2 linked regions of the Callithrix jacchus genome follow. The protein of the gene in region 2 interacts with the protein of the main gene of each other region in a pairwise test. Links are inferred from orthologs where the notes say so. Each region holds a gene or a part of one and is shown on either strand. Other genes may lie near its edges.

Region 1 (3,916 bases), on a different chromosome or scaffold from region 2:
TCGGTCATCCAGACCTCACTCACGCAGGACCTACCTGTCGGTCATCCAGACCTCACTCACCCAGGACCTACCTGTCGGTCATCCAGACCTCACTCACCCAGGACCTACCTGTCGGTCATCCAGACCTCACTCACCCAGGACCTGTCGGTCATCCAGACCTCACTCACCCAGGTCCTACCTGTCGGTCATCCAGACCTCACTCACCCAGGACCTACCTGTCGGTCATCCAGACCTCACTCACCCAGGTCCTGTCGGTCATCCAGACCTCACTCACCCAGGACCTGTCGGTCATCCAAACCTCACTCACCATGCAGGTCCTGTCGGTCATCCAGATCTCACTCACCCAGGACCTGTCGGTCATCCAAACCTCACTCACCATGCAGGTCCTGTCGGTCATCCAGATCTCACTCACCCAGGACAGACGCACCTGGCTAAGCCCCATGGGCGAGCACTGCTGAGCTGTCCTCCACCTGGCTCAGCACTGGGGCCTCCTGGCACCTGCCTTCACTTCCCCTCTGTGGTAGGAGCACGTCACAGGGTGCTCTTGGGGCACCTGCTGGCCTCAGGACCTCAGTTCCCACACCGACTCACAGGGCTTATGATTTTGTTTCCATCCCAGCCATCTCCCAGGTCCCACTCAGCTCCACCCGGGAAGAACACAGGCCTGCAGGCAGCGCTCCTGGAGACGCTCGTGAACTTAGTGGACAGGAGCTGGGGTGACCGCAGGTCTCTGCACAGCAACGAGGCATTCCTTGGTGAGTCAGGGTGGCTGCCAGCTCTTGCCCTCCAGGCGACATCTGTGTGGGATCCTGGGTCCTCTGCATGTGGTGACCTGGGAGTCATCTTAGCCCTTCCCATGTGCATGTGGTGGTCCTGCACCAGGGCCTTCCTGGCAATCTGCCTCTCACAGTCGCCATGCCTCTTGGCACCACGTGGGCCTGGGCCTGTGGGTCCCCCATGTGCTCTGGGTGTTGGGGTTCCTGTCACCTTGTTTTGCTCAAAATGCTGTCCAGATGCATTTGGTTCTGATGGTGGTGTTCATGTGTAGCCTGTGCTGGGCCTGCCTTGCTGAGCTTCTGCTTGGCATGGGGCCCAGGAGGGCAGTCCCTCTGCAGACAGGACTCAGGTCTGTTTGATTCTTCCAGGTGACCTGTGTGGGAGCATGCTGGGGTCTCCCTCATCTGGGGTCACACTTGGAGACCAGGAGGCGCCATGTCCCCGGTGGCACCTTCTCTTTTTCCTACAGCCTGGGGTGTGGCTGTACGTATCCGTCAGGAGCCTGACCTCACTAGCCTATTCCTCCCGGCAGACCTTGGGTGTGGCTCTGAGCTGTCTGAGCGCCCCTCGAAGTGTTGTGGCCCCTCAGCTCCTAGAATGAGGACGCCCTGCAGTTTCAGCCCACCTGGACCTCAGCCCCGTAGACCCTTCCCCTCTCCCTCGGCTGGTGTCCATGCAGCCCATCCAGACCCCAGACCCCAGTCCTCACCTCTCCCTGGGCTAGTGTCCTGCAGGGGCCTCCTGAGCTTGCTGTGGTCAGTGGCAGTGGCACTGTCCCTGGCTCTGTCACAGTGTGGAGTTGCCGGCTGTCTTCTGTGTGGTAGTTTCCACAGCAGGGCGGTCGGTGCTTGTGGAAGGCATAGCGAGTTGCGGTGGCGCCATTGAAACCTTGAGACGTGGCGTCCCGTCACAGCCTTTTTTTGGGGTCGCCTCTTCTCTTTCTTCAGTTCCTACCCTGCCTATGTGGACGTGCAGAGCCTGAGGTGGTTTTCTGGCGCCCCCTCCCTGCCTGCCGTCTTTTTAAGGCATCCTCTGTGTGATTCAGGACACACTGAGCCGGTTTTATGTTCACCCTCCAAGCCTCAGTGCTGACGTAGGATTTGATTTTCACTCCTAGCTCAGGCAAGACGCATTTTGTCCTCTGTTGAAGAACTCACAGTAGCCCAGGATGGCTCCGCGATGGTGGGTGAAGATGTCGGCTCCCCGGCTCTGGAGAGCAAATCCCTGCAAAGTCGCCTTGCGGAGCAGCGGCAGCAGCACGCCCTGGAGATGAGCGAGGTGACGGCGGAGCTGCACCGCACACGCAAGGAGCTGGTGAGCCCGCCCTGGCGGTGCTTCTGCGCCCACGTGACTGGGGGAGATGGGCTTTGACTTCCAGGAGTGAGGGCTGCTCCTTGACGCCCCACTGCCCCAGCCGCCGTCTCTGCAGCACCTCATCTCCCCTCCCTGCCCAGGACCCGGCCGCCCCCAGGATCACTGCCGGCCCTGTTTCACAGCAGGCCAGAGCACCTTGGGGGCAGCAGCAGTGCTGGCCACCTTCCTTCCTTGGAGGGGCTGGGCCGGGGAGGTGGGCAGGGGTAACGCCAGCGGGAGACGGTCTTTAGGCCCCTGTCCTCTGGCCCAGGCTCCCCAGTCCCCTGCTGAGAGGCTCCAGTGCTTCAGGCCATCACAGGCTCCCTGCTGCTACCCTGCCTGTGCCAAGCTGAGCAGCCCCCTCCCCCGGGCCCAAGGGAGCCGCACGGTGCTGGGTGCTGCGGGAGCCAGGCCTGGACCTGACTTTATCTTGTTGGCCCGCCTTACAGGGCCTTGAATTGGAGACACCTGAGCCCACTCTCCTTTTACGAAGGAGATGACGGCCAGTGTCCCACAGGGAGGTGGGGCTACAGGGCAAGTTACCCCAAAACCAGCAACTGAAAACCCACCTTTATCAGCTTGGATTTATGTGGATCAGGCCTCAGGCTCAGCTCAGTTAGGTGTGTCCGTCTCCGTCTCCGTCTCCGTCTCCACTGAGGCCTCATGGGCAGGATCCTCCCAGGCTCCCTCCAGGCTGCACGGGCCTCCTTATGGGCTGCTGGAGTCCTTAGGACATGGAGGTGGTGGTCAGAGAGCCACGCCCAGACAGAAGCCACCCTCCAGGAGTCCTGGTGAAGGCAGGGCCCCACGAGTGAAGGCACTGTGGGACAGCTGAGAAAACCACCTCTGAACTTGTCTGACAGGTAGATGCTGTCTATTTTATGAGAACCTACATCTCAGAGAGCCCACACAATGCTTCCTCTTTAGAGAAGAAAAAGGACAGTTGGCGAAACAGCACAGGCAGCCTCTGTATTTAAACACACATGGCCCATGCCCCGTCCCGTCCAGAAGCCTCTGTTTAAACACACGTGGCCTCCACATCTAAAAGTCTCCCTTTAAACCTATGTGGCCTTCATTTGGAAGCCTCTGCATTTAAACACATGGCTCCCTGTACAGAACCCTGCATTGAAAAACATGTGACCCCCTACCCCCCATTTGGAAGCCTCTGCTTTTAAACACACGTGGCCCTGTCTGGAAAGTGAGCTGGGTGCCATCACTGCTGATGCATCCAGGCACACCCCCTGCCCTTCTGTGCCTGGGACCACACAGAGCTGACAGACGGAGCCCGAGGGTGAGCTGAGCACCAGGGCCGCCTGGGGTGGGAGTCACATACAGCTGTGGCCACCATGGCAGCCTGCTTTTTAACCCTGTGCTGTTTGTTCAACCCTGTCCCTCGGAGCAACCCTGGGCCACGGGACAGAGCAGCCTTGGTTCCCTGGTGAGTGATCTGGAAGTCACTAAGGGCAGGAACCCTGAAGAGAGAGCAGGCGGCAGTCGGGTGGACGCCGCCTTCCAGGGAGGTGCATCTGTCATTCCAGAAGCACCCAAGTTTACTCTGTAACACGGGGATGCTCATTCCTCAGTCATGTGAACTGTGCTTCCTGTGGAAGCTGCAGTGGTGTGTCCTAGGGTACAGTTGACCCCACTCCCAGCTGCCGTGTTGGGCACAGCCTCTGAGGCATATGTGCTGTGCCCAGCCTGGGCGCAGCTGGTCATCCGTTCCCCGCACCTGCCCTGGCCTCAGCTTCAAAATTAAAAATCAGTCACATGTGGTGGCACATGCCTG
Region 2 (3,916 bases):
CTGCAGCCTCCACCTCCTAGGTTCAATCAGTTCTCCTGCCTCAGCCTCCCGAGTAGCTGGGAATACAGGTGCCTGCCACCATGCCCGACTAAGTTTTGTATTTTTAGTAGAGACAGGGTTTCACTATATTAGCCAGACTGGTCTCAAACTCCTGACCTCGAGTGATCCCCCTGCCTCAGCCTCCCAAACTGCTGGGATTACAGGCATGAGTCACTACACTCAGCCAGAAATGTATTTACTATGTACAGATTCATACTTTGCAGACATCTTATTTCATCCACACCACCATGACCTTCAAAGGTAGGTCAATACTATATCATCATTTCCTTCTTTTGTTTTGTTTTGAGACAGGGTCTTACCCTGTCTCCCAGGCTGGTATGCAGTGGTACAGTGACAGCTCACTGAAGCCTCCACCTCCCAGGGCTCAGGTGATCCTCCCAGCTCAGCCCCCTGAGTAGCTGGTACTGCAGGCATGCACTACCATACGCAGCTAATTTTTGTATTTTTTGTAGTGATGAAGTCTCGCTATGTTTTTTTCTCAGGCTGGTCTTGAACTCCTGAGCTCAAGTAGCCTGCCTGCCTCAGCCTCCCAAAGTGCTGGGTTTACAATGAGCCACCGTGCCCAGCCCCATTTCCGTTTTATAAATGAGAAATTATATAACTTGCCTCGGGTTACAAGCTAGTCCATGGCAGAGCTGGATGGAATTCCATCCTAATTCTCTCTGATTCTAAAACTTACAAAATGGTGATGTGGCTCCTTCCTGGATCTGGAAGCCTGCAGTCTCGCTGATGTCACACTTGTTATATTTTAAATAAACTGAGACTTACTCATCAGCATGTAGACCTGTCTCCCATGCTATTACAGTCTAGTAATTTTGGTAATAATACCAAGGAAAATTAAGATATGTTTTGCCAGTTTCTCTTGGAGGACAGCCAGAATTCACTCGTTAATAACAAAAAAGAGGTCCAGGTCTTAAGCGCCTCTGTCATCTTTCAGATCTTTACCTCCCTCTCTTCTCTTTTTTTCTAGTTAGCTGCTATCACCAAATTAAGGGCAAAAGGCCAGATCCTTACAAAAACAAACCCAAATGGCATTAAGAAGAAGCAAAAGGACCCTCAGGCCGTCCTGGAGGTGAAGGAACGTGTAGAAAAGAACGCCATGTTTTCTTCTCCAGGTACTGCAGTTTCACAGTTAACAGTGGAAAACAGAAACTGTTTCTAAGGGAAATACGTTCTAAACCCAAACCAGCACCCAGATATCAAGCAGTTACTTCAATTTCCTCCTATAAAGAATACCTAAATAGAATTTCTATGGGTGGAACTGATTTTTTTTATAATCACTTTAAATTGGAATGAAATTAGACATAATTCGAATACTTGGGAATAGGATCTTTGTACATATATTAATGTAAAGGTTTGCTTTGACAGGACTCAAATTCCTTTGTTTTAAATTGCCCTGTCTTTATTTTTAAAACTCCGAAGTAGGCAATATCATGTTAACATCATTGTCAACATATTTAACATTGCTATTATCTATTATGATAGTCAGCTGCCTATTTGAAGGTGAAAAAGAGATTCTAATTTAGTGGCCAAATCTGCCACCACCCACATTCTATGTTCAGCTTCTTGGCTCACCTCTGAGCCCTTCCTCTGCTGGGGCCAGCTGGGGTAGGTCGCGTTTGAAGGGCTGGTAGGCAGAGGAAGGGGGAGTGGAAGGGAGTGGAGTCGACGAGGCACGCTGGCTTTCTGCAATTTCTTGGTCACTGCTGATGCTTGTTCCTTCTGCTCTAGCTGAGGTTGAATTAGAACCTGCCAGGAAAAAAAGGAGAGAACAACTTGCCTACCTGGAATCTGAGGAATTTCAGAAAATCCTCAAAGCAAAATCAAAACACACAGGCATCCTGAAACAGGTAAGATCCCAAAAGCTCAAGGATGGTGTTGATGTCCGGTGTCCTTCAAAGCCAAGGTGCCAGCTGTAGGACCAGAATCTGCTGTTTGTTTTGTTTTGAGACAGAGTCTCAGTACAGTGGTGCAGTCTTGGCTCACTGCAACTTCCACCACCTAGGTTCAAGCGATTCTTCTGCCTCAGCCTCCCCAGTAGCTAGAATTACAGGCATCCGCCACCATACCAAGCAAATGTTTGTATTTTTAGTAGAGGCAGAGTTTCCCCATGTTGGCCAAGCTGGTCTCTAACCCCAGACCTCAAGTGATCCTCCCGCCTTGGCCTCCCAAAGTCCTGGGATTACAGGCATGAGCTACCATGCCCAGCCAAGAATCTGCTTTTTACATAATTCTAGAAGTAGGTATGTGTCCGTTTGTTTGAGTTTGCTTTGAAGAACAGGATAATTTCGAATAGATTTTAGCCTTGGCTTTGACCCTTTACTGAAGAATATCATTTGACTTAACATGACTTAAATAGATATCAGTATTATAAAAATGTTTGCACTTGGTTATGGCTGTGAAGTGATGTTTAAATGGTTCTAAACTGTTGCTGTTTTCTGCCTTGCAATATGCAAAGAGAGTCTTCCCATCCAGGATTTTATATCTGCATATCAGATGCTCCAAAGCCGGGCTTAACTCATGCTGGAGGCTCTTTTTAGTAACAGGTGTTTGTATTGCTTTCTTATCTTGAAATAAAATTCATGGATAATATGAATTACCTATACTAGTCATTTTGAAAAATTAATATCCTAATGCAAAGAAGAAAAAGTAAAGATATTTAAGATAAAGGTAGAGATTGCATTATGGATTTGTAAATGCATAGGCAGAACTAGCTGAGGGGAGATAAAGTGGTGAGAGGCTTGGATTTATTAGTATAAATGAGCCAGAAATGGAGACTCAGAAATGTTTCTTTGATAATGTGGGGATTTTTGTCAGGGATGGGAGGAGTGTTCAGACAGGGTCTCTGTATGTTCCCCAAACTGGTCTTGAATCCTGGGCTCAAGCAATTCTCATACCTCAGCCTCCTGAGTAGCTAGGAATAGATAATGTACTTTTCAGGGGGTGGGGGTGTTTTTTTGAGACAAGGTCTGGTTTATCTATGTTGCCCAGGTTGGAGAGGAGAGAGAGATAGAGTGTGTGTGTATATGTGTTTTAAGTAAACAATCCCGAGAAACCACAGTACCATTGTCCCTCAGTATACACGGGAATCTACTTTTACTCTTACAATAGCCAACACGTGTTAAAAGCATGCACAAATATTGTAGAGTTGTGTAGAAAGCAGTTAGGTTCTAGGGTTTTAATCAGGTTCCCCACTCACACATTTGTCTCAGAGCACACAGAAGCCAGGCAGGATGAGAAGCAGTCCTTAGTTGTGTCGGTGACTGTCCCATGTATTGCAGACAGTTCAGCACCCCTGGTCGCTGCCAACCGCAGAGGTAGCAATCATTATGATAACACAAAGTGCTCCCACCAATTTAAAAAATAATCGCCATTCTGTATCACTACTCCAGATGATCTGCTCTTCCTTTGATTAACAAATAACTAACAAAACAGCTCTGCATGGTATCGTTTCACTGAACTTGAAACTCAGGAGAGATGCCAGCAGTGCCTCTGCAGCTGCAGAGCTGAGCTCGTTGCTTCTGTGGCACCCGAGGCCCAGGGCCCTCCTGCCTGTGGAGCAGCGCTAACCCCATCGCTGCACGCACATTCTGCCACAAGCATCTCTGCCCTCAGGGCTGTTCCCTGACATTCCGTGTACCAAGGAAACTCGCCAGTGGGGGCCCGGAGTCCCTTGTGTTATGGAGCCTATATTAGAACAGTAGAAATAACTGCCCTTGGGCACACACTTGGTGTAATGATGCTGTCGTATTAGGAGTGCTTATTTGTATTTGGTGTTTTAAAAATTACCAAATGGGCCAGGCACAGTGGCTCACACCTATAATCCTAGCACTTTGGGAGGCCAACGCAGGCGGAT

The links.
Region 1: the proteins of MCM10 (region 2) and CEP72 interact in a two-hybrid assay, tested with the Homo sapiens proteins (2 studies listed by BioGRID and IntAct). The two-hybrid records come from large-scale screens. The link is inferred for Callithrix jacchus from reciprocal best matches to the Homo sapiens genes MCM10 and CEP72.

Annotation. Positions count from the first base shown.
Region 1 is NC_133503.1:205,413,671-205,417,586, reverse strand, and holds part of CEP72 (centrosomal protein of 72 kDa), read left to right. Parts: intron 1-619; coding exon 620-755; intron 756-1,894; coding exon 1,895-2,091; intron 2,092-3,916. UniProt on the Homo sapiens protein: Involved in the recruitment of key centrosomal proteins to the centrosome.
Region 2 is NC_133508.1:14,259,744-14,263,659, forward strand, and holds part of MCM10 (protein MCM10 homolog), read left to right. Parts: intron 1-1,030; coding exon 1,031-1,175; intron 1,176-1,440; exon of another isoform or gene 1,441-1,791; coding exon 1,792-1,910; intron 1,911-3,916. UniProt on the Homo sapiens protein: Acts as a replication initiation factor that brings together the MCM2-7 helicase and the DNA polymerase alpha/primase complex in order to initiate DNA replication. Additionally, plays a role in preventing DNA damage during replication.